Tribolium castaneum: one gene and its partner. The protein of the gene in region 2 interacts with the protein of the main gene of each other region in a pairwise test. Links are inferred from orthologs where the notes say so. Each region holds a gene or a part of one and is shown on either strand. Other genes may lie near its edges. The genes, in order: CycY and Eip63E.

Evidence for each region.
Region 1: the proteins of Eip63E (region 2) and CycY interact in a two-hybrid assay, tested with the Drosophila melanogaster proteins (2 studies listed by BioGRID). The link is inferred for Tribolium castaneum from reciprocal best matches to the Drosophila melanogaster genes Eip63E and CycY.

The regions. Positions count from the first base shown.
Region 1 is NC_087398.1:15,841,412-15,857,965, reverse strand, and holds the start of CycY (cyclin-Y-like protein 1), read left to right. Parts: upstream 1-8,440; 5' UTR 8,441-8,925; coding exon 8,926-9,553; intron 9,554-16,554. Other genes in the region: polycomb protein Asx, read right to left, coding at 164-1,832.
Region 2 is NC_087394.1:24,266,836-24,283,671, forward strand, and holds the start of Eip63E (cyclin-dependent kinase 14), read right to left. Parts: upstream 11,127-16,836; 5' UTR 10,973-11,126; exon of another isoform or gene 10,919-10,972; 5' UTR 10,876-10,918; coding exon 10,806-10,875; intron 1-10,805. Other genes in the region: Papst2 (adenosine 3'-phospho 5'-phosphosulfate transporter 2), read left to right, coding at 11,302-11,582, 11,628-11,854, 11,924-12,150, 12,206-12,387, 12,437-12,611; tyrosine-protein kinase Src64B, read right to left, coding at 14,980-15,902.

The DNA of each region.
Region 1 (16,554 bases), on a different chromosome or scaffold from region 2:
GCATACGAAAGTGGCAGTGTGCAAAATAAGATTGGCAGGTGTTTCAAAAACGCTTTATTGTTCACTTTAATTTTTAAATTCAATCTATTCTGTTTACTACTCATACTTGTTACAACACTCGCCTCCGGCTCGTTGCATAACATACTATATAAAAACAACTCACCTTGCGCTGTGTCGTTCCCAAACAACGTCGCCTCTATATCCACCTCAGTCCTCTCCTTTTCCTTATCGGCCTCCTGGACCGTAATCTGTCCCGACTCTAGCACATAATTCTCCGCATCGATAAACCTATCCTCATTCGCATCATCATCAGCGATATTCCTCACGCTTTCGAAATTGCTTTCGGTCAACTGCGCCATCACTAAATCGGACTCCTCCACACTCGCCTCGAGCTTCTCCGCCGAGTCCTCCAGACACATCCCGGCGTCGCACAGCGTCTTCTCCAACACGATCGACTCCTGCTGCAAAATCAACGAATTGGGAAGAATCGGAAACGAGTCCTCGATTAAGTTTGGTGCGGGGTTTTCCTCCTCCTCCTCTTCGTCGATCTTAGGCTCAGTTTTTGGCTCCTCGTCTTCGACCTTTTCATCGGTCGAAGGCTCCTCCTCGTCTTTGGTGTCGCTTTCAGACAGCACGATCGAGCTGTCGACGGAATCAGGGTCGGTATTACAGGGTTCTGTAACTTTATCGTCAAGCGATTGGCGCTTTGAATCGATGGATTCGTGACTAAGCGATCTCCGACGCTTGTTATTGTTACTACAAATGATTGTCTCTTCGTCGGTTTGAAGAATCGTTTTACTAATGTTGATTATACAGTTTTCTTGTTTTTCGGCTTGGGTTTCGCTGGTGTCTTTAGGCGTTTGGTTTCGGATCGATTTGATCGGTAACAAATCGGGGATTGGTGTCTTGATCGGTTCTTGATTCGATATTTCGGATTCTTTCAAACTTGTGCACGATCTAGTCATCGCTCCGACGGTTCGTAGTCGTTTGATAGGTGGCGCTGCTTTTGCTTTATTGGTGACTGTTGTTGTGGGTCGTAATTTGATCGTGGTTTTGATTGGCGGTCTTGATGCCAGGGGTGTGTTGAAGTTTTGAGGCGGCTCAGTTTGACTCCTGTCGCCCCAAATCGGTTCGAAATGTTTCAATTTCCAGGGATCTAATTTACTACGTTCTTTGTCAGCTTCCAATTTCAATTTTTGTTGGTTTTCTGGTGTGAATTCGCCTTCGGCGAGCCGATCTTGCCATTCGACACAAGCCCGTGCAAAAAACTCGTTATTGAGTCCGGAATTGCTAAGTTCGAGCGAATCCGTCGAATTTGTTACACTATTATTTCGATCAACGTCTGGTAATAATTGCACTAGTTTGTTTTGGTACAGAAGTGGTAGAGAGGCAAAAGTCGCTTTGTTGAGTAGTAATCGCAGGTTTGTGTTGACAAGGATCGAGTCAGGAGTCTCCAAATCGATGCAGCCCTCTTTGGTTTGTTCCAATTGCGCTGCAGTTGAAAGTTTCTTGTTAGTGCGTCGTCTGGGTTTCATAGTGAAGCCGGGAATCGACGCTAGGACTTCCCGCATCGTAGGGGCTTTGGCTGGGGGCGTCTCCTCGGGGGGCTGCGGAGGCAACGGTTTGACTATTATACGAGGAACCGTCGAACTGTTTCCCGATGCAATCGTCGTGTTCTTTTTCCTGCGTTTGGCCTGCTGTCGCAGCGCGAGCTTGATGGCCTTCTTCGTGGGCTCGGGGGCCGCTTTTTCTGACACCACTTTTTCGGCATTTTCTTCCTCGCCTTGACTCGAAGCACCGTCACTCGCCTCGGGTGTAACGTCTATTTCCATCACGTAACCGAACAGTTGAGGACATTAAAGTTTACTTGAGTCGATTTTTTCGACTTGTGTGTGAAATACGACCGAATTTTCAGGCGAGCATTCACCCCATATTTTGGTGCGCGTTCGGGTCACAACAGGACTCGTTGCCATTCATTTACAAAATGCTAGGAGGCGACAACAGTCTTAGTCTTTTTGTTTAAAAGCACTCGGTCTTTGACAATAAAACACCATCCGCCATTTCATAACCGGGCCTAATATAAACAGGATTTTTGGACTGCTAGGTTGGCCACACTGGTTGCAACTTGCAACCGTACGACTGGTGCCAACATTTAAATTCTCGATAATATCAATAAAAAGACAACGAACAAATTAACATTGAATTTAACTTGCTTGCTTCTGTTTGGTATTTAATTATTAATTAATGGTGAAGCAGCAAAAATTACAACAAGCTAGACACGAATGCACTCCTATAATAGGTACACATTTTCTTTTTTTTGTAAATAATATAAACGACTCCTACCGATAGACGTTATCAGTGGCGTAGTGAAGGTGGTTCCGCGGGTTCCGAGGAACCAGGCCCGGGACTGTGAAAGGCCCGGTCAAATTTCTTACTTATTAACTTTATTGTAAAAATAAAATAAAAAAGTTTTATTGTTAAAAACAAAATTGGCCTACTATGTATTTAAAATTCATGGAAAACACTGAAGCGATCTACGATGTTTATTTTAAATACAAAACAAAACTGCTACTCACAATAACTACAAGTTGGTTACAAGAAATGGCTGGCTCTTGTTTTCTAAACACTAGCTCGTTTGGGTTTAGAATTATTTTTCTCCTTGGGACACTTTTAAGAAAAGTATAAAAAATAAAAATAAATGTGAAACACGACTTTATTACTTCTTTTACGTATTTTCAACCTTCATTTCTTCAGTCGTTATGCAGAGCTCAGATTAAAATCAGCTTGACACCGAACAGTGTTCAATTTTTGTGTATTTAATCCATTAATCAGTTATTGAATATGACCTCCGTAATTTATTTTCCGATTTATTTATTAAAACTGAGGCTAATAATTTTTAATTTAAAAATAGCTTTAATAGTCGCTGACTTGGACACTGAATCAAGCACGAATTCTTCAAATTTGGATCTTTGTAAGTTATCTTTAAATTTGGTATTTAAATTTTGATTCGAATTTTACTAGGTCCTGAAAAAGATGACATTACTATTGTCAATGTTACCGATAGGGGTCATTTTCAGGCAGTGTTGACTAATTCTGAAAAACGTTTTATGTTTATCTAATTTATATTTTATATTATATTTATATTTATATTATATTTTAATATTTTATCTAATGGCGACCTTGCAGACCCCCTGGTCTATTCCCAAAAAATTGTATTATTACACAAAAACTTCAGCAATGGGATTTAAAAGTACTCGAACCTGGTTATGTTACTCTAAAATCCTTAACAAATGTTATTGTCAACCATGTTGGCTATTTTCTAAACAACAAATTAAACTCAGTTTAGGGTTTGATGACTGGATACATTTAAATCGAACAATTAAAAAACATGAAGAAAAGTTAGAGCATAGTCAATGTTGTGCAATATACAAGGAGCTCAAAAACTGGCGTACCAACTACGCTGTTGGTACGCTGTTGAGAAGCATGTGTAGATCACGGAAAAAATCGTGAAAAAATTCCTAATGTCATATTTTAAAAAATATGGAGCTACAAACTTATTTTGTAAACTTCTTCAGTTTTCATTCTTTTTTTATGTTTTTATGTTTCACACTAAGTAATCGTTCCCTAACACAACAATGAATAATTATTTTTAAATTTCCTATCAGACTTTAGCAGATTTTTTAATTAAAAAAAATAAAATTCGTTAAAAAAATCACAATTTGTAGATGTGTCAACAATGGGAATTATTACCTAGGAAACCGTTTCAAAAATAATTTATTTTTATTGTTGATCAAGTTTTATGGCGATCATGACTGTTAGACAACGTTGCCACATATCATTTCATTAAAATTCGTTATTTATGAATAATTTTAATACAAAGAATTTTTTTACTATTTTTACCTTTATATGTAAGCAATTCTCTACCACACTCCAATGAGTTGGTGCGCCGGTTTTTGAGCACTCGGTATGACAAATGGCGTTTAAATAAAACTATCGATTATACAGGGTGTATCAGAAATACGTGTCTTAATTTTAACAGGTAGCAGAACTCAACAAATAAAGCATCTTTTCTATTTTTCAATAAAAAATTCGCAAATTTACTTAAAATTTGAAAAAAGATAACATACTGAAACGTGTACTCGCCTATGGGTAGGTACAAAAATAAGAGAGCCGAACTATTTTCGTTGTGACAGAAACAGACAATTTAAACAATTTAGAATAACAATGAAAATTGTTGCTATGAATACAAACTATTAAACACTGACCCGCTCGTTTGCATAAAAGAAAGAAGGAAAACAGTGAAAATTATAAATAAAAATTTTGCAAAATGTTATATAGAAAAGTTGTGGTATTTGATGAGTTTTATTACGTGTTAAAATTAACACACGTATTTCTGATACACCCTGTATTAATGAAGAAGTAATTTGCCAAGAGATCTCATCTTGGAGGAAGGTTTTAAAGCGTGTTATTAGCGTTGCTCTTTTATTGGCTTCATGTAATATGCCGATTCGAGGACATGAAAAAATTGAGTCTACAAATCCAGGGATGTTTTTGGCGACTATAAAATTATTATCTAAATATGATCCTGTGTTAAAACATCTTCTAGAAACTAAAACGAAAAAATCAGTTACATACTTTAGTCGCCAAATTCAGAACGAAGTAATACAATTATTATCAAATGCAGTTAAAGAAAACATACTTGAAAGAATTAATGCAAGTCCATTTTATTCAATTATAATTAACATCACCCAGGATATTTCAAAAGTAGATCAAATGAGTTTAATTATTTGTTACGTAGAACTCGTTTATTCTCATAATATTTTGAAAGGTATAAAAGTGAATCAATCCTTTTTAGGATTTGTACCAGTAGAAAATCAAAGTGCTGCTACATTAAGTGATAAAATAATTTCTACCATTAATAATTTAAATCTTCCGTTAAATAAATTGCGAACCCAAACATATGGCGGAGCCGTCAATATTAGCGGTGTATACAATGGGGTTCAAACAAACATTTCGGAAAAAATTGGTTATACGCCATACATTCACTGCGATGCACATAATTTAAACTTAATTTTAAACGATTCGGTAAAAGAAGTAGAACAAATTCGATTTTTTTTTGACTTTGTTGAAAAAGTATACGTTTTTTTGGTCATAGCATCATACGCTGGCATTATTTATATCCAGAGAAAAATACAAAAGATTTTAAATTGAAAAAATTGGTACCTACAAGGTGGTCTTCTAGTCATGACGCACTGAGTGCTTTACGGTATAAATGTGTAGATACAGGGCGATTCAGATAAAATAAGGAGCCTGACAATCTGGCGATGCAACCCAAAAAACACATTTCATTTACGCCTTTCACCCAATTTAAATTAGGATTTGCAAGTTGAATCAAAGTTATCAACTTATGTCACTCTGACGTTAACGCAGAGAACGATCGTTATTGCGATGATATGTCTAACACCACCGTTATTGCCATTCAGTTTTCGTGGAATGATAGAGAAAGTAGAGAACTCTTTTCAGTGTATAAACTACAATACAAAATATATGAAAGAATGAAGCATTAAAGGTAGGTATTCAGTTTTTCCAAAATCATAAATTGCAACAGTAAACAGGGAAACAAAAAATTAACTTTTAGCGAAAAATGTGTTCAAAATGCTGGCCTTCTGCTAGTTTTTCTTGGCCCGATTATACGATTCACAAAGATGCGAGATACCACACTAAACGTTCACCAAAACAATTAATTGGAAATGTGTTTCACTTATCCCCAGTGTATCTTTTTGAGCATAGTAATGACTGTTGTGCAATATCATTAATGTTAGAAAATCGGGCTTCCTCACAATAACATTTTCTGAAGTAAGTTGTTGCCAACTTGTATTTATGTTCTGATAAAGAGACAAAACTCTAATCTGCGTTCAAATTCAGTTTTCCCAAGTTCTCGCACTAGCTGAACATGATAGGTAAGAAATTTATTTTTTCTCAGCGGGTGTATCAGAAATACGTGTGTTAATTTTAACAGGTAACAGAGCTTAACAAATAAAACATTTTTTCTATTTGTAATTTTTCAATAAAAGTTTCGCAAATTTACTTAAAAATTGGAACAAATAACATACAGAAATGTGTGCCCGCCAATGGGTACAAAAATAGTAGTAGGTATCGAACTGTTTTTGTTGTGATAGAAACGTATAATTTGAACAATTTAAAACAACAATAAAAATTGTTGTTATGAATACAACACTGACCGGCTGGTTTGCATAAAAGAGAGGAGGAAAATATATTATATTAAATAAGAATAAGAATTAAACATATTAAATAAGAATTTGGAAAATATTATATAGAAAAGTTGTTGTACTTGATAAGTTTTTTTACGTAGTAAATTAACACACGTATTTCTGATACATCCTGTATACCTTCAAAACCTAAATGAAGGAAGTGTCCCTTAATTTTCTGATTATGGTTAAGGAAAAACTAAATAGTTTTATATGTGCAAAAATCAAGTCTAATAAATATTTACCCTTGATGTAATATACGGACTGTTTATAAAAGAGTGTAGAATTTTAGGTGGTTCTGGAATTTAAATTTACCGCAATTAATTATTGAATTTTTAAGAAATTTCTGAAAAGTACCAATTTTTATTTACTCAGTAATCAGTAAAACCAAATTTTTCATATACTAACATTGTTTGTTTTTTCTTTAAAGAAGCGGCAACCTTTTAATACCTACTACGATCCTACATTCATTTTTAGACAGATTGTAAAAATTTGCTAAGAAATGTTTTGATTTTCCACATAGTAAAACAACTTTATGTTGCATAATGAAATCTATTAGCTATAGGTATAAAAAAGTTGACTCCAAAGATTATCATAAAACTATGAATGGTGCGTTTTTCAAAAAATAGGTGAGCGCACTCAGCTGCTCCTTCATTTGCACTCATTAAATGTTAAGGGTCGGTTTACAGAAAGCGAAATTAAGACTTAATTCAAAATTAAACTAATTTGTGAAACGTAAAGGTCGTTTTACACAATCATGTCATCTTTTATTTTGAAAACGAGATACGTTGATACGTTCTTTTATTTACATCAATTTTTTTTGTCCTCAATATTGCAGTGGCCGACACGGAATTTTGGACACCTATGACATTTCGTTGACATAAACGTCATACTTTTTGACAACGAAGTGACTGGAGTGTCCAAAATTCCGCGTCCGCCACTGTACTAGTTTTCTTATAGTTCATTTTTTATATAATCAACTGTCAATGTTAAAATTTTGATAAAGACCAAGTTCATGACCAACCACTTTTGAAACTACCTTCTGTTCATTTTCATAAAAACCATTGTGGTGGAACTGACTAAGCTGTTACCATGACAATTTATATAAAAGTTAGTGCCAAGAATGTAGCTGTATTCTGTATTTGACATTTTGAACACCAGATTTGACATTTTTCAAAATTTGACGTTAGTGTTAATCGATAATTCGTTAGTTTAAAGATGGTCTAAAATAACTAAATGTGTTGTTGAATGTGTTTTAAATTGGAGACACTTGAAAAATTTGGAAATTGAATTTGCCAGATAAAAAATTACACTAACCTTGATTCAAAAAAATTACTATTTATGGTAATGCCAACCTGGGGGCTCTTTAACAGTAGATTATAAAAAAAAGACTATATGTCCGCTTTTAGAGACCTTTACCACAGTCTACTGAACTAAGGATTGCGAGCATTTTAGTTGCCTACCCTACAGTTCTTTACTAGTAAAAGAAAGTGTTGAGTGAAATATCTCATTAATGCAAGATTTCTTTATTCACAAATAAACGGAAAACAAATTACTAGCGGCTAGCCCTTGCCGGTCTACAAATGTTCGCTCAGTCGAAATGTTGCGAGCGAGGTCGGAACAGTACGAACGGAGACCATAACGGACTTCTCATTTCAGCTGGGCTGGTTAAGTCTAAAGAGTTTTCTGAGTATTTTAAAAATAATTACATTAACAATCGGCATTGATGGGCATATTGGAATAGTGGTTTTTATGGAAATATGTTGCGCGTTTAGTTAACTAAAAGGAAACAAACCCCACGACCAATTAAACTCGAAAACGTGGAACTCGAAACGTGGAATAGTGTTTATGTTTATGAACTGTACGCCACCCTAGCTCCATAAAAAAACACTATTCCACGTTTCGAGTTCCACGTTTTCGAGTTTAATTGGTCGTGGGGTTTGTTTCCTTTTAGTTAACTGGGGCGAAGCCCCAGCCACGCGCAACATATTTCCATAAAAACCACTATTCCAATATGCCCAGCTGAAATGAGAAGTCCGTTATGGTCTCCGTTCGTACTGTTCCGACCTCGCTCGCAAAATTTCGACTGAGCGAACATTTGTAGACCGGCAAGGGCTAGCCGCTAGTAAACAAATTCACTTATTTTGTTAAAATTAATAGTGAGCTGGTGAGGCATCGGGACATACATGGTTGCAAGGTTGGTAGCGCAACCACTCGTCTAATTTTTTATTCCAGTAAAATAATTTTTTGTTAAAATTATAAGTGGATACTACTGAAGGTGGTAATAAACAAATCGTTTATAATTTATAATATCCTACGGACTGTTCTGTTTATAATATTGATAACAATTTGCACGTTGCATGTTGCAAGTTGCAACCGTCCAAAGCATCCTTCAAAGTTTGACAGTTCGGTTCCTTGTCCGAAAAATGTGTTTAATTCGCCGTTTGAAACAACAATCCACATAAAACCATGTAATAGTAAACAAGTTGTGCGCACCGTCGAAATCCACAAACTCCTCACCGGCTGCATTCGCAATTGCCGGCTGAAACAAGGCGTTCACTCGTGGGTGTTGATCTAAAATCGGCTTATCTGCGTGGACACAATCGGTGATAAGATGAGCTGCCGCAGATAGCGATGGCACGCTAAGGGGGCCACCATGGGCAACAAGAACAGCTGCTGCTCGTACTCCAGCCCGCAGACCAGCCACCGCGTCATCATCCCCATTGAAGATACGCTAAATGAGGGCGAGGTCAGTGTCAGTAACCTGCAGCATATCAGCGAGCGGGAGGCAGACGACGGCGACGCCGACCCCTCGCAAGACCCTACGGCGAAAACCATCTTCATTGAACGCTCCAAGACGGCCATCGAGAATGGCATGATCCGCAGGAAGAGCCAGCACCAGATCGCCGATTTGCGCCCCCTGAAGAAGAGCAGCTCGTGTTCGACGATTTATTTGGACGACAGCACAGTGTCGCAGCCCAATTTGAAGAACACGGTCAAGTGTGTGGCATTGGCGATTTACTACCACATCAAAAACAGGGATTCGCAAAGAGAGATTGATATCTTTGATGAGAAGCTGCATCCACTGACCAGGGATGGGGTTAGTGACGATTACGACAAGCATAATCCCGAACACCGACAAATTTACAAGTTTGTGAGGACTTTGTTCAATGCTGCTCAACTGACTGCTGAGTGTGCCATTATTACTCTAGTGTATTTAGAACGGCTGTTGACATATGCAGAGTTGGATATACAACCTTCCAATTGGAAAAGAATAGTCTTAGGTACGTATAAACTACGAAAATAATTAATATTTTGATTAATAGTTAATGTACAAGGTGAGTTTGCTAAAAGTATACCGGATATTTTGGTTTGGTTTTTCCATACTTTTTTGTACTGGGTGACTTTTAAAGATTGAGGCTAAAAAATCTATTGGCAACATTGAGTTATTGGCCTCCCTGCTAGCTTGTTGTATGGAGTTGTTTTATCTGACGGCCATGTCAGCGATCGTAGGTCGAAAATGAATGACAATTGAATATAAAATTTTGAGAAATAAATTTAATAGTCAAGGTTGCGAAATTTAGTTTTCAAATTTGTTACCAACTTGGCCACAAATATCACAATCATTAATAGTCACCCGGTCTAGTAAAAATGTATTATTACAAACCAAAACCGAAATATATTCTTGATTGAAATGACAAAATCTTTTCAATTAAATCACGAGTTTACCTTATGATCATATTTGTCTATATCTGTCGAGTTTTTTTCAAATGGTACCCTGTATAATTTTTTGCTCTCTTTGATAGATAATTTACTTGTAATTTTAGAAATGTGTCACAATATGACAAAATAATAGTAAGCAAACAAATAAAATTAAAAAGTATACAGGTGTCCCAAAATTGGCGAATTCCGACTACAGAGCATTGTAGAGAATCACTTCAGTAGTCCAGATATAGAAAAAAATAAGACTGGGGGCTTTTCCACAAAGATACACTGGTTTGAAGATTACTCTTTGAATTTCGTTTTTTTTTTCAAATGCAAGCTATAAGTTTTGTGATTTATGGTGTAGATGATTGTGGAGAATAATAATGAAAACCATTTTTTTAATTAGCCTTATTTTGGAGTAAAAAAATTTAAATTTTGGTGATTTTCGTCTGATTTTTAAGAAAGATTACGAAAATTTAAGATTGTTTTACTCCAAAATAAAGCAAATTTTTTGAGAAATTGTTTTACATTATTATTTTTTACAATCACCTACACTATAAATAACAATAAACAATGAAATTTTTTGCTTGCATTTGAAAAAAAAACGCAATTCAAAATGCACCGAAGTACACATTCAAACCAATGTATCTTTGTGGGGAAGCACCGAATCTTTATTTTGTTTCTACCTACATTTGGACTAGTAAAGTGATTCTTTACAACATTCTGAACTCGGAATTTGCCAATTTTGAGACACGCTGTATATTATTTCAGATAAAAAAGCTAGATGACAACGAAAACAATTAACACTCTTGTCAACTTTTTTCATTCAAATAATCTAGCCATTTTTTATAATCACAGATTTAAACTGATTGACAAGGCATGATATTTTTTGATACTTTAAAATGAAGTGAAATTGTTTTTATAGGTAACTAAGTTTTTTTTTTAACTAACTATATTAACTGTTTCAAAACTACACACATCTGAAAAGTTTAGGGATATTAGCAATTTTTCTAAATAATAATGTAATGAATTTAATTTTTGTAATTTTTTTGAAATGAATTGTTATTTCTTTCAAATATTCCATGAAAATGACTTTGTCATTCTTACAATTAAAGAAAAACAAAAATAAAAAAATAATTTAAATTAAATTAATTAATTAAATTTTTAAATTTTTGAACTTGGTTTAATTAATACGAAATCGGTTCTTCGTCCGGTTTGAGTTCTACCCTACGACATGATTGTTTCACTTAAGTAAGGATACATTCCTGGACCTGTTGGAAAAGATTTTCTCTGCCAGATTCTCTTCAAATACGCATTCTTGTTGAACCCGGGTAGATTCCAAATAGTTATTAATCAGGAAACAAAACATTAGCTCACTGTTGCAAATTTCAAGGAACAATTTGCTGAGCCAGTGAAAGTCTGGCTATGCGTTTTGACTAAACCATTTTTAACCGCAAGAATCTTAACCTCTTGTCTTGCATTATACCAAAAATTATGATAATAGTTTGATTTTTATGCAAGATATTGCTAACTGCACACTTCAAGTGGTTAAGGAATATTTACAAAGGTATCGAAATTTCTGTTTTGCTGTGGCCAAAACAATCTTCTGACTCTTTGAAGTCGTCTAGCATACACTCCAAATTCTATGGATAATTGTTCCGCAGAAAAATCATCAGGATTTATTCGCTGCCTTAAGGGCAGTGTAGAAAGAAATCTTTTAAGAAAAGATAAACAACTATGCCACGGCGATGTCGAGCTGTAATAACCAATAGGAGTTGCATTAGTTATTAAAAATATTATCTTATTTTTATTTTTTGTAATTGTAAAATCGTCGCACAGGATCAGGTTACAAACATCAGTCTTTGTTTTTGATTTTCATGGAATCTTTGAAGTTTACTCTGATAAATAACAATTTGTTTAAAAAAAAGCCAAATATTTCATTTATTATTATTCAGAAAAATCATTAATTTTCTGATGTGTATGTAAATGCCATCCCATAGAAAACTCGCCTATGGCTCGTTATCTAACTTGGGATTCGTACGCCAAATCAAACCCTTATAAAACTTGTTTTTTAATATACTATTATACGTTTAGAAAAATATTAACTACAAGTAGTACTTAATACAATGGTAATATTACATGTTGTTATTACTGTTTGTTATTTTTTTTTTTATAAAAAAGTTACAAGGATGTGAATACCAAACTGACACATCAGGTTTTTTTACTGAATCTCAAAAACTAATCACATTCGAATTCAACGTTTGCTATTAAACAAATAGTTTTTTTCTCTGCATGGAAATGATTCTTGCACCAAAAACTTATTTGAAGAGTACATGGGAAAAACAAAGTAATTTTTCAAAAAAAATTGGAAATTTGAACTAAAGCGCCATCTAGTAGGAAAAATTGAGAACTATGGATTGCTGTGTCAATTCACGTAAAAAAATATTTTTAAAGGTATTAATAATGTTGCTTATTCCATAAATACGAATACAGGTAGTACATTTTTATTCTACAAGTGGTTACTGTGTTAATTTAGCTATGGTTTGTTTCTTCATTTTACTCTGGCGTACTATTTTTTTTTTTTGGGTTCAGAATTTTCCAAAGTCCTAGCAGTGAGTTTTCTTCTTTTGCAAAGAGGCCAATTTCTTCTAAGTTCCCTCTCAGGACTTTTAAAATTCATGCCACTAGAATTTTGTTTATTTGGGAAACGTTGAGCAAACAAATTCATTGCAGCAACAGCAATGCAGGGTACAATGTGACAATAATGACTAGCACCGATGTCAAAGCTTATCAAGGACTGTCAGTAACATAAGATTACTTGGATTGCAAATGCAAATCGTAATTAAAATTAGATCAAGACGTAAATGAAATTGTTTTTTGGGTTGCATCGCCAAATCGTCAGGCTCTTAATCTTATCTGAATCACCCTGGATAAGAGAAAACGTTGTTTATACACGTAAAAAAAAGTTGGCATAATCTGCTCTTGATTGTTTCAGAAACCCCTCACTCTCAGATAATGAACAACTTTTTTTTACTTGTATAATAAACTACTAGTTTTTGATTTTTTCCTTTTTCTTTAAATGATAGAGGTATCAAAAATTTGGTTTAAGTTAAAACCTTAAGTCAAAAGGTCATTGTATGACACTAAAAAACTTACAAAAGCAATAATATTCCCTAAAAACTAAAATTAAAGTTCTAAACACAATATGAAAATTGAACCAAAAAACCTGTTTTTTTTTCAGAACGTGTAAAATTTGTCATTCCTTGTTTTTCTTTTGTACAATGGTGGACAAATTAATCGCGTATACTACGAAAAATCAAGCAACACATTTTTTCTAACTTAATGTGTAATTATGTCTTTTTTGAAGTTTGAAGGTATTTTTAGAATAGAGGTTATCGGTTGCAATTAGAAATTGTCACTCTAATTTAACAGTAAGGTAAGAATGACACTTTATTTACAAAAATTAGTACAGCATCGATTGCAAAATTAAAATTTTTTTATGGCTCCATTTACAACTGATACTTAGTGTGATCTGTTAGAAATGGATGCATTAAGGTCTATAATTTTTGTTAATTTCCTTCAACCGTTTTGAATAACATCCCAAAGTTCGTTTTTGTTCTCAGATCTAAAATTCCTTAATTATTATTTAACAAATGTTTCACCTTATCCAGGATTTGACAGTCATGGTCGTTCCGAACCAACTTTTTTTGTTCCCATCACTTCTTTACTCTTATGATGTGACTCTCCTCCAGTTTCGACAATGTAAGAACTTTGTCGTGTTCAGTAAGTATTGTCAATTTTAGTATTTGACACTGATGAAAATGTCATGCTAATACCTACTAGATCCAGCAAAAATACGGTGTACGCGACTATATTGTCCACCATTGTATATCTCATTTCATTTCATAGTAGAATTTTGCTACATTTTGACAACATTTGCGCGTAGACAGTGAAATGAAATTAATAATTTGGACCGTCATTAGTTTATTCGTACAAATGTATTCTGAAAATGTCTAAGACGTCTAAGGCAATCCCTTAACAAATACGGGCTTTTGTGTCAAATACGTGGAATTTGAAAATTGGCCGAAGGATAATGAGATTTCAATTTACTTACTTGCACTGGCTTTTGAAGTTATGTATGTACATTACTCGAAAGGGCCACATATCATGACTGGTACAAAAGCCTCTAAAGACAAAGCTGTTTCTAAAGTAACCATTTTAGGGAGCGTGTACCAAAAAAAAATCTTTAACGTTTTTAAATATAATTTAGACCTCGGGAACTGTGGTAAAACGGTGCTTTAGTTTTTTACTTTTATTATTTATTATTTACTGTATTCGGGCTTATCGAAGTTTTCGACCAGCTGTCCCTTATTAATAACCGAGCTTTTATAAATTTTAAAATCCTAATTTGTAAGCAAAACTATTCTCATCTGATAGAAAAACATACTTTTGATTCACTTTCATAAAAATCATTGTGGTGGAATTAACTAACCTGTTACCATGATAACTCATATAAAAGTTAATGCTAAGATTACCCAATTTCCACCACAATGGTTTTTATGAAGGTGAACCGAATGTAATTTTTTACTTTTTAGTGCATCTTTTAAATATAAGCTTTTTTCTAAAAAAACATTTTTTTTATTTTAATTTACTAAAATTTTTGTTAGCAACTTCATGTCGAAATAATTTCAAGGTTATAATTTTTGTCAAATAAATAAAATGACATAAGTTTACGTCAAATTTAACCAAGGACGTAGAAAACGTAGGAATTTTGGAATAACTATTTAGAAAAAGAAAAGAATTGAATAGCTACAAATTTAATATTAATGTTCACATTTCTGAAATTTGTCGATCTTTATTTTAATATTAAATACATAACTTAAAAACATACTTCAATGCTAAAAATGCCTTTCTTCCGGTTACAATTTTTAGTTAAACGTCTCGTCCTAAAATTGGTCATTAAAAACTCATCATATTTCTCGTCGTCTTTTTAAATTTCCCAAAAAAAAAAGATATTAAAGGTCTTCTTGAGTGAAAAGCGTAACAAAATCGTGAATTCAAGTATCTACGTATTTTGTAAATGCATAGATTTTGTACATAACATTATTTAGACAATCCGCTTTTCCAAATACTTGCTAATAATAAACGTAAAACTTGGCAGGAAAGGTTCAATTTCTTTCTCTTTCATCGATGATTACCATTTCTTAAAGTTAAGTTTATGATGAAGAGTTTAGACTAAAATTCTTGTACTTACAAATTAAAAATGAACGACGACTGCCAGTCTAAACCATTTCTAAACATTTTTGGACAAATTTATTTGACTTTTCGCTAAATTTAAAGTGTAACATCACTGAATTCTATCCCAATTTGTTTTTATTCATATTCCAGCGGACGTATATGAAACATAATTTTGAAAATTTACATTCAGTCTCCCACCTCTCCCTATTTAGGAACTTTAGTTTGCATATAAGAAAGAAGGAAAACAGTGTGCTTTGTAAATAAGAATTTTGCAAAACATTATATAGAAAAGTTATTGTATTTGATGCATTTTATTACGTGGTAAAATTAACACACGTATTTCTGATACACCCTGCATGGTACATTGTATTGTATCCACAGTAACCTAACCCAAAAATTTTTGCTGTGAATGTACTGCCCTAGCCAATCAAGACTCATTTAAGGCGTTCCCCGAGAACTGTCAAAATGATGTGCTCATACTTTTATACATATCTCAAAAAATAGACCACGGAGCAGTACCAAACAAAATTAATAAATAATTATTCATCGTTTTGTTAGTGAACGATCATTTAGTGTGAAATATAAAAACATTAAAAAAATAGTGAAAACTGAAAAAGTTAACAAAATAAGTTTGTAACTCCAGAATTTTAAAATACGACTTTTTTTCAGTTTTTTCAAGATTTTTACCGTAATGTACACATACTTCTCAACAACGTACCACTAAGCTGGTGCGCCAGTTTTGAAGCACCCTGTATAATTGTGAATTTGAAAATTCTACAGTCAAAAGAAATTAGGGTATATTAATATTTATATTGAATTTATTTTGTAAAATGTACTTAGCAGGATGAGCATAATATATTTGTTTGTTTGGATTGGGGCCATTTAGGTCATTACAACTCAAACTCTCCAATGTCATGGCCTAGTTAATTATTTACAAAATTTATTGCATTCAATAAAATGTAATCAGAATTTTTTCCAAACTGCATTTAATTTAAACGCATGGTAGTTTTTATTAATTATTATACGCACGACGAAACCACGTAGTTTTTTTATGAGAAGACATATAAGGTTTCAAGAAAAAAAAATATTTCTGGTCGATTGCGTTACTTATTTATTTAACAATACATACACGTGCAAATTAAGTAACCGCATTCAAGTCCCCTACACTTGAGTTGAATTAAGTAATAGTATTCGCTTTGATAACAAATATTGTTGTTTTAATCTGGAGGACTATTTTCGTTTAAATTGTCTGTACAAGTAATTGAAAAACCTACCTATAGGTATTTTGCAATAATTGTCGTTCTCTTATATAATTTCTAACAGGTTTTTTGGTGGAAATTAC
Region 2 (16,836 bases):
TCAGTTTGGCAACATTACCTTTCCCATTCGTAGGTAGAAACATAGAAATACGCCCTCGTATTTAGAGTGTTTGTAAACATATCTTCATTTGGTTTGCTCATCGCAACATGTGAAAGACAACAACAAAACAATTTAAATAAAAGCATTTCAAAAAGGTCTTTTATCCACTATCTGCTAGTTTCTTCAGGAAGCGTTTTCAGATATAAGCCCAGAAAAGCTTTTTTCTTATTTTGAAAGAATCACTCCCAGTTTACTTATTAAATTTTGAAAAAAAAATTCTTTTGCAGATTTTTTTATATTATTGTTTTTATTTGTTTAAAGTAAATCTTTAATGCATTGTTGTTTTAATATCTACTGGCTAATCATTCGATATGCATATTTATTATAATTAATTAAGTCTTGTTTTTTAAGTTTTCTTTGGTTACCTTAATTTACAAACCTTTTTTGGACGTTAAGTGACTGGACTGTACAGAGATTTTTTTCAACTCTAAACATACCCATCATTCCCTATGTTAAATTTGAGAAAAAACTCATCAATGTATTCCACACTGTCAATGAAATCTTGCAAGATTATTCATGTAAAAAACATTTTTTTTTTCTACTTTGGTTTCACAAAAAGAAATTTTGTGCAACTCCTTTTAGTAAACTTATAGGAGTTGTATTGGCAGTGCTGGGCTGAGTGTCATCACCATCAGTCATCACTGTAACTTAGTGTGTGATTTGTCAAAAGCGTCAAGTCGTTTATTGATAAAGTCCGAATAATTAACAAAATTAAGAGGAAATAGTTTGAACAGATTTTGATCAATTAACTAAACAAAAACAAACAATAAAAATAAAAAGTCGAAAAAATAGTATATTACACACGCTTTATAAGACCTAATTGAGGCACTCAATTCCTTCGTCGTGCTCTAAAACCATTCGTGCTACAATAAAACGTCTTATAAAACTCGTATAATAATATACTACTGTAGATTTTTTTTATCATCGGTTAACAGTAACAAGTAAGGGATGAATTGTGGCACTCATACTACTGGAGCACTCCTTCGTCGTGCTCCAAAACCATTCGTGCCACAATATAACGTCTTATAAAACTCGTATAATAATATACTATTGTGAAATTTTTTATCATCGGTTAACAGTAACAGATAAGGAATAACTTCAAATTGATGCGAATAACTTGATTTTCAAATAATTATTTTTGAGTATTGGTTACAAACTTAACTTCAAATAGATGAGTGTTTTTTCGAAATGTTCGAACTTTGTCGAGTAATTGTCTGGAGACTGTCGGACTGATCCTTGCCGAAAAATATTTGACTTTCTAATGCCACACTCGTAACCTCGTCAAGTATCAATAACACCGCTTGGTATAATAAATTCCATGCATTTTCAATGGAATTGAGGTCCTGTGCTAGGACATATCCGCCTTTGCATTTCACTCGGCCAAATCGCGCGTCAATTACCGCGAGATTCTTCGAATTGAAGCTATGTACACAAATCGTGTCATCTTCGCTCATCACGCGACTTCCGAACGCATTTTTGCCATTCTCTCCTCTTTACAAGGACACACCTTTATTGCACTCCCGTTTGCATACCGATCGTATAGAGAAAAATCTCCGACTTTTCAAGAATTTCTCGGAAGTTTCAAGGCAAACCTGTGGCTCTTTCCAAACCTATATGCAAAAATTTCTCTTCACCCTCATCACGCGATCTAATAACACAAACCCAAAGTGTTCCGCTTTGATCGCAATTAAGATAAGAGAATTAATTCTACCATTGTAAATGTTTACATTAGCGTTTTCCCGCTTCTGTCCATGATGAATGCCCGTTCTTTTGCGAAATGATGGTGTTCCACACCCAGGATCGCTCCTGTCGCATAAATTAATTTGAGCCTCTCAGGTTTAGCAACCAAACACTTGCTAATGGTATAATTACTCAGGACGGGGGAAAAATCTCCCTATTATGTCCTAAACTAGATTGATTAAAGCATCGCCGGTTAATTTTCCGATCGTAATACCTCGTGGAGGTGAAGGGATCGAATCACGCGAGAACCCAAGTCTCGCACTTGCAATTAGTCTCTCGCAGAAATTGCAGGAGTTGCTCATTTGTTCTCCTGTCTGAAACACGTATGAGAGTGGAAAGCCCCTCAAAAGATTTGTCCTCGTGGAAACGCTGAAATCCACTCAAGCCGAGTACAATTCTCATTTCAGTTACCGACAACTTCTCATTTGATTGTTTAAAGTTGCGTGCGCAAAACTCCTTTAAAATTTTTACATCGCGTGGCGCCTCTCGTTAAACGTAACAACACTCTGGAGATGAAGTAAGACACCTTTGAAAAATATTTTTGGCGTGCTGGTCCGCAATGCACCTAAATCATCGACTCGAGTGTTTAATTAGATTCCACTGTGAAAAATTTGGGGCCGCCCTCCGGCTCGGACGATACAAATCCATTTAGTATCGTAATCTCCCCCGGCAAAAGCGACACGGGGGCAAAAACCGGGAGGGAAATAGTTAACAAGGGACCGTCTGCGTTCCCCGGAGCGTTCCGGCTACCATTTGCAGTCGTATCTGCGGGGTATTTTTCAATCGAAAGGACGAATCGAAATTACGAAACGGGAAAACTAATAAAAGGTCCCGGAGGCGATGGAGTGCTTTAGCGCGGCCACGGCACAATGCCGGGCCACCTCATAATAATACCGGAGCACAATATGCGGGAAAGTTTACAAACAAGACGACGCTCGTTCCTTTCGAATATTGCCGTCATTGAGGAAAAAGAGAAATTCATTCCGACAGGGAGGAGGGCGCGAAAAGATCGCACACTACACAGACAACGGCTCCTGGACTTTGAGTGGCCATTATTTCTGGCGATTCTTGCAGAAAACGGAAAGAAATTCAATTTCCTCATTACGGCAGCGCGACCGCTTGCTTTTAGACTATGTGCACTTTTTCTCTCGTCTTTGAACTCCTCAGACAGACAGAAAATGTTATTATTTTTACGGAATCTCAATAAATCGAAACCTTAGCCAATTATTATCATCAAAATATATGACGGAAGAAATTGTTTTTGGTTGTTTAAGGCAAGGAGTAATTAAACTTTATATTTTTAGCGACGTTTCGATTTTAATTAAATTATCATCGCTTGTAAAAAGCTCTATGAAGGTAACATGGCACAAACACTCAAAACAACCAAAAGCAATTTCTTACGACAAATTTTTTTCAAGAGCACAAAATGTCATTTCAGAATTAAAATCTATATTAAATAAACCAAATAGAAAGAACTTGCCTCTTCTCTCACTGATTTGGGCTTGGACCCATTCTTTCATATAGTTAGTAGTATTGACGAACGGCATAATAACAAAACTTTAACAGCCCTTAATTCAAGGGACATTCAAATAACAATTTTAGAATTTCCGTAAATCGCTGCTCCTTTTTTTTGTAATTTTAATCAGTTTAACAGCATATGTAATCGGCGAAATAACATCTAGGGACTTGTCTTTTCTATAACATGGTCTGTGTCATTGGTAATTCCCCTTCCTCTTTTGTTTCGGAGGACTCTTTTCAACCAAGTTTAAAATTTACGTTAGAGATTCTAGCAAAAAGACCTGACATGTTCCAGATGAATAGGAATAACGTCGCATTTAACATTAAAAAAGCAAATTTCGCTCGCCTCTATGCAATTTTACAATTATTAGTATAATGGTCCGAAATGGAAGAATTATGCGATGTGTGTGAGGCACGTCGAGTTTTTTATAGTCTCTTTAACTCTTTTAAGTCAACTGTTTCAGAACTATACTGTCGTAAAAATAATCGCACATTTCCTACAATACCATTACAAGCTGTCTTGGTCATACGTCAAACATGTTAAAGAAATTAAAAAAAACTTCTGTCTCAAGCTAAACTCTAACAATCACTGCTCATACGAAAAACACAATTTCCAATAATCAAAAAAAAATTTTGGTCTTTTGTCGCATATCAAATTCCAAAGACATTAATGATTTGTCTGGTTTGATGCCGGTTTTGCATAAGTTGAGATAAGTGAGGATGAAATCCTGCAGATTTTGAAGCTTCTAAAGATTCCAACAAAAATTGAAAACGACAGGCCAATCTAAATCTTATGCGATTTCTCGATTGTTTTGGAATCACTATTTTACGACTTATAATGTGTTGAAAAAAGATCGAATGACACAAATACGATCTATTTTACTTAATTTATATACGACTTTCTGTGACCAGATTCTTTAACTATGCCAAAATTCCCATACAAACTCCTATAAAATCAGAATCTGCTATTCTCAAAACCCATTGGAAAATACTTCCTACGGCAGCACTAGCCACTAGCCAATAAAAATGTAAAAAATTTCTATGAGAGTCCAGGCAATGGGCCCCAGATATACCATAAGAAACAAAATTGCTGAGGTATCGCTTCAAATTCTTGTAGCGGATGTGGAAAATTTAGAACCAATCAAAGCATCACTAAATTCATTTATTGTGCGACATGCCAAACACTAGGAAATGCCAACAAAAACATTTATCAGTGTGGTAACCACTAATGCATAAAATTTGAGGACAACTAGCACTTTTTGTTAAATTTTAAGACCATTAATTCTTTCAGGAAGAGTCAAATATTCTGTTCTTTCTGTTACATTTTGTAAAATTCACGAACACTCGTTATGTGACAAAAATCTAATACACAATCTATAGTTTACGACTAAATCTGGAAATGGCATTTCTCTTTAAAAATAAATTCTAGAACGCACTGCTGCAATTTCGGCTTCATCAAGAGCAATTAGTGCCACTAAGTTTCAAACGTAATCAAAATTCGCTACAACAGTCGGTGAACAAAATAAACAATCACATTCAATGTAGACTATTAAAACAACGTAAAAAAAAACAAACCATAAAATAAAATTGCAAAAAAGAAACAATACCTAATTCACAGATTCTAAAAACTTAGGAAGAAAAACTGCTTTGAAACTGGGAGTAAGTTGTAAAAATTTCCCACAAACATATTCCTATAAGAATTATTGAGAATAGCAACTATGTTTTCACAGCAAAAAGCGTTCCATTTTCCTACGGGAAATTTTTTCCATAAATCTAAGAACTGGGTCTCTCCCTGAACAAGTTTTCTTCAAGTTGATGTCTTTATTGACTTTAATAAAGGATTTGACCAAACTGATAATAATTGTCTATTGTTGTCGAAACTTGATCCTTTTCTTCAGTTTTTTTCAGTGTCTTGCAATTCTTAATAAAATCATATCTTGGGAATAGAAAGCCAAAAATTCAATGTCAGAATTACATTTTGGATAGTTATATTACAACGTCGTGTGTACCGCAAGGTTCCACTCTTGGACCATTACTATTCTTGCTTTTCATTAATAATATGTACAATACTTTGTCTACAAACTCTAAACCTCTCTTGATGATCTTAAGTCGACTTAGAAATGTTGTAATGAAAACCAACTTCACTTCATCTCGTCTACAATGTTGTGTAATGTCTTCCACCAAAAATCAAGAATCCATTGAATCTGCTTATGACATTTAATTGCTAGCATCCTCATACTTCAAATACAGAATATTTGAAAGTCATCTTCAATACTAAACTATTGTAAACCTTATTTTTCGCTTTAGCATCCACTCTATCATGTCCACTTGAAGAATCAATCTGAAAATGTACACTGAAAAGTCCTGAAATTCCAAACGTTTCTAATTGATATCCAATTAGATGCTTTGATCAAATGCAATTTTTGCAAAAATCTCCAATCTTTGCAAACTCGTCTTAAGTCCATTAAATGCGAGTTGCATACACTATTTTTTCTATGATCCGACCAGTCAAAGCAATCCAATAATTGCTATCCTCTTACATTCCCATTGGTCACAAATTGTCCCATGGTTACCATAACCCATTTTGATTGGTCATAAGCTTGTATCTTCACGAATGTCATTTAAAAAACAGATCACAAACGAACATTTAACGAACCAATTAAAGTACAGAAATAAAAAAAAATATATGATATTAACTTTGAATCTTTAAATTTTTGTTCCATAATTCCTTGTCTTTAGTCGATTTAACTTGCATTTGTAGTGAATAATGTAAATTTGATTGTAAGTAAGTAAAGTATTTACTATTACATATTACGTATAATATTAGAAAAAAATTAAAATTCAGTAGAGGAAACAGCCGTTGAAAAACAATGATTTATCCAGCAATTACCAAATAATTTGTATTTTTAATTAATGATTATTGTGTATTGCTTCCTCCTGATGGGTATTTTCCACGTTGGGCCGATTGGTCGGTTATTATGTTATTTGAGAGAATGCAGAACACGCAGGAAGAGTGTGGGTACGGTGGCGATGGCGAGGGCCGCTCGAAGGCCGCAGCTTCGCCCACTGACCATAAACAGCAGCAGCAGCAGTACGAAGAGAACGGGTTGTTGACCGTCGTTTCAGCTTTCAGAAAACCGCAATTGCAACGAAAGAATCGCTTTTGACCTAAGTCAAAGCGGGAGCGGCGCCAAAACGCCTCCACAATTGCGTAATGTAATGAAAATACCGAGGAATTGTCGTCGTTGCTATTTCAAGGAGATACATTATTGATTCTCCGGTGAGGGATCCCCGAGGGACCGACTTTAAAACTACACTACACGATCTAATATCATTTCGTTTCGGCGATAAATATTTGGTTGGGGAGAAGAGGAAAATAGATGAACGCGGTTTACTCAAGGACGATGCAAAAAGATTGATTTTTATCAGGGACAAGGTCGTGGCGAATGATTGGAGTAATAACAAACAAACTATAAAAACAGATGGATGAGATAACGGCCCAAATTCTCCTTTTTCTCGCAACGAGAACTGGGAGGAAATTCGTTGTTTATTCCTTCGAGTTTGAAAACTATAAACTTATCCGCAACATCGCCATCTACTTAATGTTATCTGCAGTTGGAGGGAATAATGTCCACAGATTATAGAGAGAAGTTGCTTGCATTGTAATTCACACTGAAATGGGACAATTATGTTGGGTTTACCGTTGTGACGAGCGGTTTAACGTGTTAGAAAATTGCATCCAGGCAGATATTTTCTAGTTTACTAGACACATTTTTGCGGCGCTTTCGGTAATAGAGACTTTCGAACTAAATAAAGTGCTCAAAATGTAAGAAAGCATTGTACCAAAAAGAGAATGCAATACAATGTGCCACTACATTTATTATGTTTCTCACATTTTAAACATTTTTGCTATTCTTCAACCTTAACAGAAAAATATTAATGCGGCCATTTCTATTCGGAGCAAAAACCTCCACGCCACGTTTATCGTTTATGTCCATGACCATGTTCCATTATATTTTAATGGTCTACTTGGAGATCCTAATCGCAAATTATTAATCAATACGACGACTTTTATTTCATGTAAACAAAAAATATGTATCGAGATAAAGTAACGTGAAATTCCAGTGCTCCACTATTCGGGTGAAATCAATTTACTCAAATAAACAAACCTTCAATGGAATTTATTGTGCAAAGTATCGTAAATCGATAGACTTGTTTAGTGTGTGGTAAAATATGAAGACACTTTTCTCTCTTCAGTTTACTTCAAAGTGAATTTATTTTAAATCAATATTTATTATTTAAAATCCTTGAATTGATGTGAAACACATTTTACTTTATGATTTTTTAAGCGTTGCGTATAGGCAAGACAGGGAAAAAAGTTAATATCGACGCTTTTTACGTGAAGATTTTTATGTAATATCTTGGAATTTTAGGTCGTAACGTTTCAACGACATTTCATAAAAATTCTGAAATGTATGAAAATTATTACTTTAAGTGAAACGTGACGACTTGGAAAAGGCAAAAGTGACATCAAGAAGCTCCCTGCTCTCAAAAGAACAAAAAATATGTAACACAAAATTTGTTTAACAATTAAATTCACGCGTGGTAAATTTCGTAAAAAGGTTGACAATTCCGCTTCTGATTTAAACATTTTGAAAATATCTCAGCAGAAAAACGTAGATTACTCGTAATTTCAGATCAAAACATAAAAACAGAAAGATTCGATAACGCTATTTTTTTTCGAGAACAATTGTGAAACTAGAAGAGATAAAAAACTATAAAAACTTGCACGCACAATACAAAGTTGCACGCCGCAAAGTTGCGGCGTTCAATGCATTATTCTTAAAAGTTTTAACTTAATCGTCTTAGTAAAACGTTTTTATTAACAGAGAAATTTTTTATAGTTTTCTAAAATTTTGAGTCCAGTCCTGATTACTTTCCAGTTAGAGATAAGCATTTCAAAATAATCTACCTCATTTCTATGGATACCAGATTTGCAATAATGTTACTTTTAATTTTTTTAAATATTTTTGATAGCACTGCCCTTAGAATATCAACAAATCTGTAAGCTCGTAACTACTGTAACCACAACTGTGACAATGACAATTTTTTTACTACTGCCAATGGCCCTTTAATTTTTTGGCAATTCTCAAATTTAAACAGAGCCGCCTTCAAAGATTTCAAAAAATGAAGTAATTGTACCTTCGTTATCATCAACATTTTACTAAGATGTTTTAGATTAAAACTCTTAAGAACAATGGATGTTATCATCTGTTGAATGGAACGCCTTAACTTCTCGAACACCTGTATAAGCAATGCATCTTTTCCCAATATTCTCTAAACTTTAGCAAAAAAGTGTTAAAATACTGTACTATTATTTTAAAATCTATGAAAAGTACTATTTTTTTCTCAATCAGAAGAGAGCTTAAACTTAGAGCTTAAGATTTTACGAGTAGAAATCTTAAGCTATAATCAAAAATGTTTTATTTTTTAGTAATTTTTTGGGGAGTTGTTTTCAAATATTTTTATTTTTTAGGTTTTATTCAAGGGCTCTAGTTCCTAAGTGTGCAATATCCAAGTTTAATAACTTTTAACAAACCGAGACCTATCGAACCTATCGTCTTTTAGAAAGCTTTTTTCACCTAGAAAAATTTTATACCAACCAAAAAAAAAATTTTTCTTCGAAGACTCATCAAATGTTGACATTTTCATTAAAATCTCATTACGCAAAGTGACTCTTTTATGTCGCTTACCCGCAAAAAACTTTTATGTTCTAGGTCGCCAAAGTATTTTATTAAAATATAATCAAAAATGTTTTATTTTTTAGTAATTTTTTGACGAGTTATTATCAAGTATTTTTACTTTTTAGGTTTTTGTTAAGTGCTCTAGTTCCTAAATGTGCAATCTCCAAGTTTAATAATTTTCGTCTTTTAGAAAGCTTTTTTCACCTAGAAAAATTTTATACTCACCTAAAAAGAAAAAAAATTTTTTTCAAAGACTGTCACCAAATGTTGACATTTTCGTTAAATTCTCATTACGCAAATTAACTTTTTTATGTCGTTTACACCCAAAAAACTTGTATGTTCTAGAACGCCAAAGTATTTTATTAAAAGAAAAGTCAATAATTTTTTTTAAACATACCTTCTCATACTAGTGCAGTTCTCGAAAAAACATTGTTTGGAACTTGAATGCAAATGTATGTAGGATTTCGCATTCTTGAAAGGTACTATAAAAATAAGTAGGTACGTATTTTGCAAAAATTATTTGCTTTATTTAGAGATTATACTGTTTGAAATAATATTGTGAATAGTGTTTATCGTGTAAAAGTTTTAAATGATTTCCTATGTAAAATATAATACAATACTTAATTTGGAAAGGGAAAGTGATTGATGGATTGATTCTCATTTATGCAACAAATAAGCAGATTAAGGTCGAGGATATACAAATTAGCTATTCATTATTGAACTTATACAACATTTTTCCTACAGTGCAGCAAATTCTGAATAGTGTACTTGCCACTAATACATCTTAAATGATTTTCATTTGCAAACAGATTTTTTTCCTTTTAGCGATTGCCGATTATACACAAAAAATGTACAATTGGCAGTCGGCAGGTGCACATATTAAGCTATACCGATTTATTGACCCCTTCACAAAAATAATAGTCTTAACAATTAAATATTCCATTCTGAGGCAATTTGGTTTATTTCAAACGATTTGCATCAATTAATGCAAGCCTATTGTTCATTCGTTCCATTTTTTGTTTACCTTATTCCATGTTTTGCAATAACGGTTTCAACACCCTAATAAAAACACGACCTCACTTCGAGTGAGGGTTTGCTGAAAAATTCTCCACCTCCGCAATATCGTTGGTCAAGTTCATTCTAAATTTTTATTTGCCATAAATTCCGGAGACCCGACCCAAAATCTGGACGACATCGTCGATAAATTGCCAAGTTGTATTGGCTCGAAGTTGGCGTACAAAAAGCACAAACCTAAACTAATTTACCTCAAACAATACCAAATTCATGTCATTTACATTAATTATAAAGCGCAAAGTTTGAATTGGATGCTGGGGCTTCGGAAACTCTGACAAATTTAATAAACAAGCTGTAAACGCAAATTGATTGCTTCCATGGACAATAGCAGCCCCACCATGCCCATGATGGGTCGTTCTGCTGCGTCAACGTGTAATTGTGAATTGTTGATTATTTACAACGGGACATCAGCAATTTATCAAGGTTTTTGCTCCTAGCTGCATTTTTCAAGCAATGAATTACCGACGAGACTGTCTATTTATACGAGAGTTAATTTCAATTAACGCTGGTCGTTGTCCCTCGCACCAACACATGTTGGGGTGCAGAAACCGGGCCAGGTAGCAAAAACTGGAGCTTGTCCACAAAACCGCGGCAAAAACGCAGCAAAGCGCCCGGAATTCGCCCGAGTGTCGGTTTTTTCCGGCGTGTAGAAAATCAAGGGGGCTTTACCATCTTTCATGCTCCTAGGCTGCGTGGCTGAGGCTCCGCTACTGTGGCTTTTGTCAACCGTACAATACATAATCACACACTTTAACACTACAACATAAGTCACTCTCACCGAACTAAAATTATCATAATTAGAAGTTTATTAATTAGTTTTACGCGAACTTATTTACACACGAAGAACACTGCCAAAACCCAGCGGCCATTACTGATTTCGCTTGCTCGGCCGCCTCCAGATGGCATCCGCGCCGCTGACCTTGGCGATTTTCGGGCGATTTGGCGCCGATTGCGCTTCGCCCCCTTGTCACAACACTGGGGATTTTGACTTTGGGCCACCGGACACCTCCTGATAAACCACGGGAATTTAATTTGTCAATTTATTTTCAAAATGATTGGGGGGACGATTGGCGAGCCTGGTGGGACGTCAAGTGTCAGATGATTTGAATATGTGTCAACGTGTCTCAAATCAAGCAAAAGTAATGATTTTTTCCCGTAATTGAAAATGTCACGCAGCGCTCAGCGTGGGGGGCTCAACCCCGAGCCAGACAGCCCCAAAATCAGTATCCTTTTCCTCGATATCACTCGTTTTTCCCAACCTGTCCAATTTTTCATTTGCAGTGGGGCTGTTTTCGTGTTTTTCATCCTTTACGGGTACATGCAAGAGCTGATCTTCACCATCGACGGCTTCCAGCCCTTCGGGTGGTACCTCACGTTGGTCCAGTTCGGGTTTTACAGCGTCTTTGGCCTGATTGAGACACGAATAAGGAACATAACCTCTCGATCGTAAGTGGTTCGATTTTAAGGCCCCAGAACACCGATTTGTTCCAGAATTCCGATCCAAACGTACTTTTTACTCGCACTGTTGACCCTTGGCACCATGGGTTTCTCTAATGCCTCGCTCGGTTACTTGAATTATCCGACTCAAGTGATTTTCAAGTGTTGCAAGTTAATTCCGGTCCTTGTCGGGAGTATTCTAATTCAGGGCAAACGGTACGGGCCTTTGGACTTTAGTGCAGCTGTTTTGATGTGTGTGGGACTAACATTATTCACTCTGGGTGTGTATGTTCACTAATCAAAGCCATGTGCCCCCTAATAAGTGACTCAAAAACTCGAACTAATTTCAGCCGATTCACATGTACAACCAAATTTTAACACTAAAGGCATCTTCATGATCTCGATGGCCTTGCTGTGCGACGCAATTATAGGAAATGTGCAGGAAAAGTCAATGAAAAATTATGGGGCTCCGAATTCCGAAGTCGTCCTGTTTTCGTATTCAATTGGGTTTGTGTACCTCCTTATTGTGATGGTGGCCACTGGCGACTTCACCGATGGCTTGCAATTTTTTTCTACTGTAGTTTATTAAATGATCATTTTTCCCAAAAGTTTGATTTCAATTATATTTTCAGAATCCAAAAAAACTGTACGGTTACGCTTTAATTTTTTCACTAACTGGGTATTTGGGGATTCAGATCGTTCTCACTCTAGTCAGGACTTGTGGGGCTTTTGCGGCAGTCACTGTGACAACGTGCCGCAAAGCCGTGACTATTATCATATCATTTGTTTTTTTCAGCAAACCTTTTACGTTTCAGTAAGTGTAAAAATAATTCTCCGAATTACAATTAATTCTTATGTTTTAGGTATTTATGGTCCGGTTTATTGGTAGTTTTAGGTATTTATTTAAATTTGTTTAGTAAAAGGCATCCAATGTCGATGCAAGACTTGGAGGTGTTTATAGAAAGGTGCATTCGAACAATCAAATTAAAACTTTATAACAAACGTCAAGGTCCTCGCCACTATATGGCGAACGTTTGATTTTAGTGATTTAAGCAATACTTTGCCATATTTTATATTTTGTTTTATCGTAATAGATGTGTTCATTTTTTATTGCTTTAAGACCGGACCCGTCCTTTTCACTCCCGGAAGATGGCGCTCAAATCAAAATACACAACGCTCAAAGACGAACACCAACGCAAAACTTAATTATTTAAATTAACATAATATATGTGGATTTTTCAGATTTTTTATTCCACAAAATATGTTCAAATTTTGAGGTTTGTAGAATAAAAGATCGTATTTTTCACTTTTTAATTCAATTGAAATGAATTCACTGCATAAGAAAAAAATGGGGACCTGTCCAACGAGTTGTTCAAATGAAAAAAAGAAAAACAAATTGAATTTCTAAGATAAATAATGAGCCCAACAATTAATTGAACAGGAAGTTTAAATATATTTTTGTAACTGAGTTTCCTTTAAGAAAAACATCTTATGAAAAAAATACAATAAACATAGATAGGTCCATCTAGTACCATGTCCAAAAAAACCCAAAAAATTATGTCCTGTTTTCTAATAATAATAAAAATCCACAATAAATTATTTTAAACGCAACTGTTTTTTAAATTCATACTGTTATTATAAATTCAATTATTTATTTATTTATTTATTATTAATATTATTATAATGACAAAAGGTTTGGTGTGTCGGGTTTTTAAACTTTGTTTTATTTATTGATAAAACAGTAAACAAAAATGTCGGCTGGCGTTTTAAAAAAGTAAAAATGACGTCACAACAACTCAAAAACAAATGACATCACGTCACTAGCATTAAAAAAAATAAAACCGAGCTGTTGGAGGATTTTTTTGAAAAATGAGTAATTACAAGATATGAACTTTGTGCGTCACTTTTAATTCAGTCTGTATATTTTAATAAGGCCATTAGAATGTTACGATTTTTTTTCATGTAATTTTAATGTCAACTTTTTTATAAAAAATAAAACTACTGAATTTTTAACACGTTACTTTCAAAAATTATTTAAAATGAGGTAATTACTGACCTGTGAGATTTAATTGAAGGGCTTTCAAAAAATGTGTACAACTATAATTCCAATTAGGTACAAAAAAATCCCGAAAGTTCCGTTACAAAAAAATCCTCCAAAATACTCAACAGTAATTCCAAAATCCAAATTAACTTCTCTAATTTCAAAATAATTCCTGTAAATCCAAATTATGCTGATTTTCCCTTTTGACAATTATCGTATTTCACTATTTCTTAAAACTACCACGGAAATAAGAAATCGTTTTGAGAAATAGTGAAATACAGTTTATAAAAAAAGAAAAACACTAATCCAGATAATTCCATTCCAAATGGTTCCAGAAAGAATTTTAATAATTCCAGGACAGCACCATAAATCCGAAAGGCAACAAACAATTTTGATGAAATCAGAAAAATCTGCACATCTTTTCCAGAGTTATCAGTCCCCCGAGTTTAACTTGAGGCAGCATCCAAAGAAACCATTTTGTGTTATCAATTTATCAATTCATTATCTTCCTTAATAATTCAATTTTTCATTTGAACAATTTCTTTTTAAACATTTGAGTTCCCGAATTTCCTTCTGTTAACAGGACACGGCAATATTCACAAAGGTTCATATACTGTTGTACTTTCCATTACTGCGTTGGTGCGCATCTTTTTGCGCGTTCTCTGTCGCTGAGTAGCACAATGTTTTATTCATACTGTATATGTACAAAATTTAATATGATTGTTCCTATATAAAAATCAATAACATATGGCTTTTCTTAAGAACAGATAAAAACTTGACTGGATCAAATCTGACTGTATAACCATCTCAAACATAAATAATTATACTAATACACTCACGATCACTATCATGACTATGTTTCCTCATAAAATAAAAATATACTTAAAACAAAAATAAAAGCAATACATTTAAGACGTGATTAACACTTATATAACTCTAAAAATAAGTTTCTCAATAATTTAGAATGAATTTTGTACATTGTTTATTGCACAAAACCAAAAATCAAAAAGCCAATACCACGTGTGGCCTCCGTCAAAAATAGAGAGCTCCGTGTCCACCACACGCGATATTACTCGAACTGAAGACAACCACACATACAATAATACACTGAAGAAGGAAGGGAAGCAAGTATTGGTCCACGTCCAATATTTTGAGTAAAAAGACGTACAAAAAGTCGTATAAAAGTTAAATTCTCGAATAGGTCACTTGAATTTTGCCTTTTTGTACTGCGTGATATCGTACGTGGCTTCGGACACTAACTCAAACCAGTCTTAGAAATTTTGAAGAATGTGCGGCAAGCAAACGGGCGAGTGGAAAACCAAACACAACTGAGATCTAGTGTTTATACGTATTGGTGGTACCCCACTAATCGGGCACCTCCCGATAGGGCACCTCTGACGTCACGTTGAACCCTTCAAAGTAGTGGGTCAGAAACTCAAAGGTGGGCCTGTTTTCGGGCTTCGCGTCCCAGCACTGCAGCATTATCGAGTAGATCTCGTCGGGGAGCACGTGCGAGGTGGGTTTGCCCATCCTGTAGCCCTTCTCGACCATGTCTATGACCTCGCGCCCGTGCATCCCCGGGTACGGGACCTGTCCGTAGGTGAAGAGCTCCATCAGGAAGATGCCGTAAGACCAGACGTCCGACTTTATGGAGAACTTCCCGTAGACGATGGCCTCGGGGGCCGTCCACTTGACGGGGAACCTCGAGCCCTGCTTGGGGCAATACTCATTGTCTTCAATCACCCTCGCAAGCCCGAAATCGCAGATTTTCGCAATGTTATTTTCGCCGATTAAAACATTACGCGCGGCTAAATCCCGATGGATCAATTGTTTGGACTCGAGATACTCCATCCCGCTGGCCACTTGGAACGCTATGTACACCAGGTCCTCGAACTCCAGCTCCTTGCCTTCGTCCTTTCGCAGGAAGTCGAGGAGGCTGCCCTTGGACATGTACTCCTGGACGATGTAGATGGGTTCGTGTTCGCTGCACACGCCGAAGAGGGTGACCAAGCGCTTGTGGCGGAACTTCTTCATGATGGCCGCTTCTTGTAAAAAGGCTTGTGTGGACATTGTGCCCTCGCGGAGCATTTTAACGGCGACTTCGATGTTGTTTTTCCATTTGCCGTACCACACTTCGCCGAAGTTGCCGCGGCCTAGGCGCTGGATGAGTTGGATTTCCTCGCGTGGGATTTCCCATTTGTCGCGGTAGGTGGGCCCCAGGTCCCACATCGTGGGCTGGGGCTTGGGGCACGGCTTCGACAAGACGTGGCAAAGGCCATAAGCGTTTTCTAAAAGGGTGGGAATTTTTCGTAACGTGTTTGTTCTAACTACAAGAAACGAAACGACGTACAAAAAAAAACGTCCCCGGAGTACCGAATTTTAAAAAATGTCTATTTCAATAACGGTTAGCACAAGGCAAAGAAAAAAAATACAGACTGATAGAGCATTACATTCTCAGTAGTAAGAGATAAAAAAGAAATTATGCCTTGACCACCAATTACCACAAAGTCGTAAATTATTGGAGCGTTTGGATCCTTAATATTAAAATATTAATTGCTCAAAAGTTCGCATAATTCTATTCTAGCAATTATTGCTATAAAAATTAAAGGAGTTATACACCAATAACTTAAAAACAAAAATTACCAAAATTGGTTTGAATGCCTCACAGGAATACCTTAAAAATTTTAAAGAATATCAAAGTATCAAATGGTAGCGTAATTAATTTCCTATCGTTTAGATTGTCAATTTATTTTTTGACTCGACCAGAGATATTTATTTTTGCCTCGGCCATAAAACTTGGAACATCTGTATTTAAAAAATTACGAACTTTTACCAATCTGAAGACTGTGCGGTAACAGATGCAAAAAAATATCAAAAAAGTTGTGGACAAATTTCCCACAAAAACGGCACCCTAGCCGTTCAAACGACGGATCCGTTTCATTTTACTGGTGGTGAAGAATGGAAAAATTAATTTAAACTTAACTTGGAGATAGAAAAATGGTGTCGCGAACTTTTTTTGTAGGAAATTTAATTCTCTATAACTTTGTTTCGTACTACTTTGTGTATCTTCAACCGCATCTCCTTCCTTCTCAATAATATAACGGGGAACGCAAATTGGTAAATGCTTATAATTTTTTATAATCGTACTCGTGCTATTTTAAAAAATTCAATTTACCTGTATCCGTAATCTTTTTTATAATTATTGAAATCGTCACATTTGTT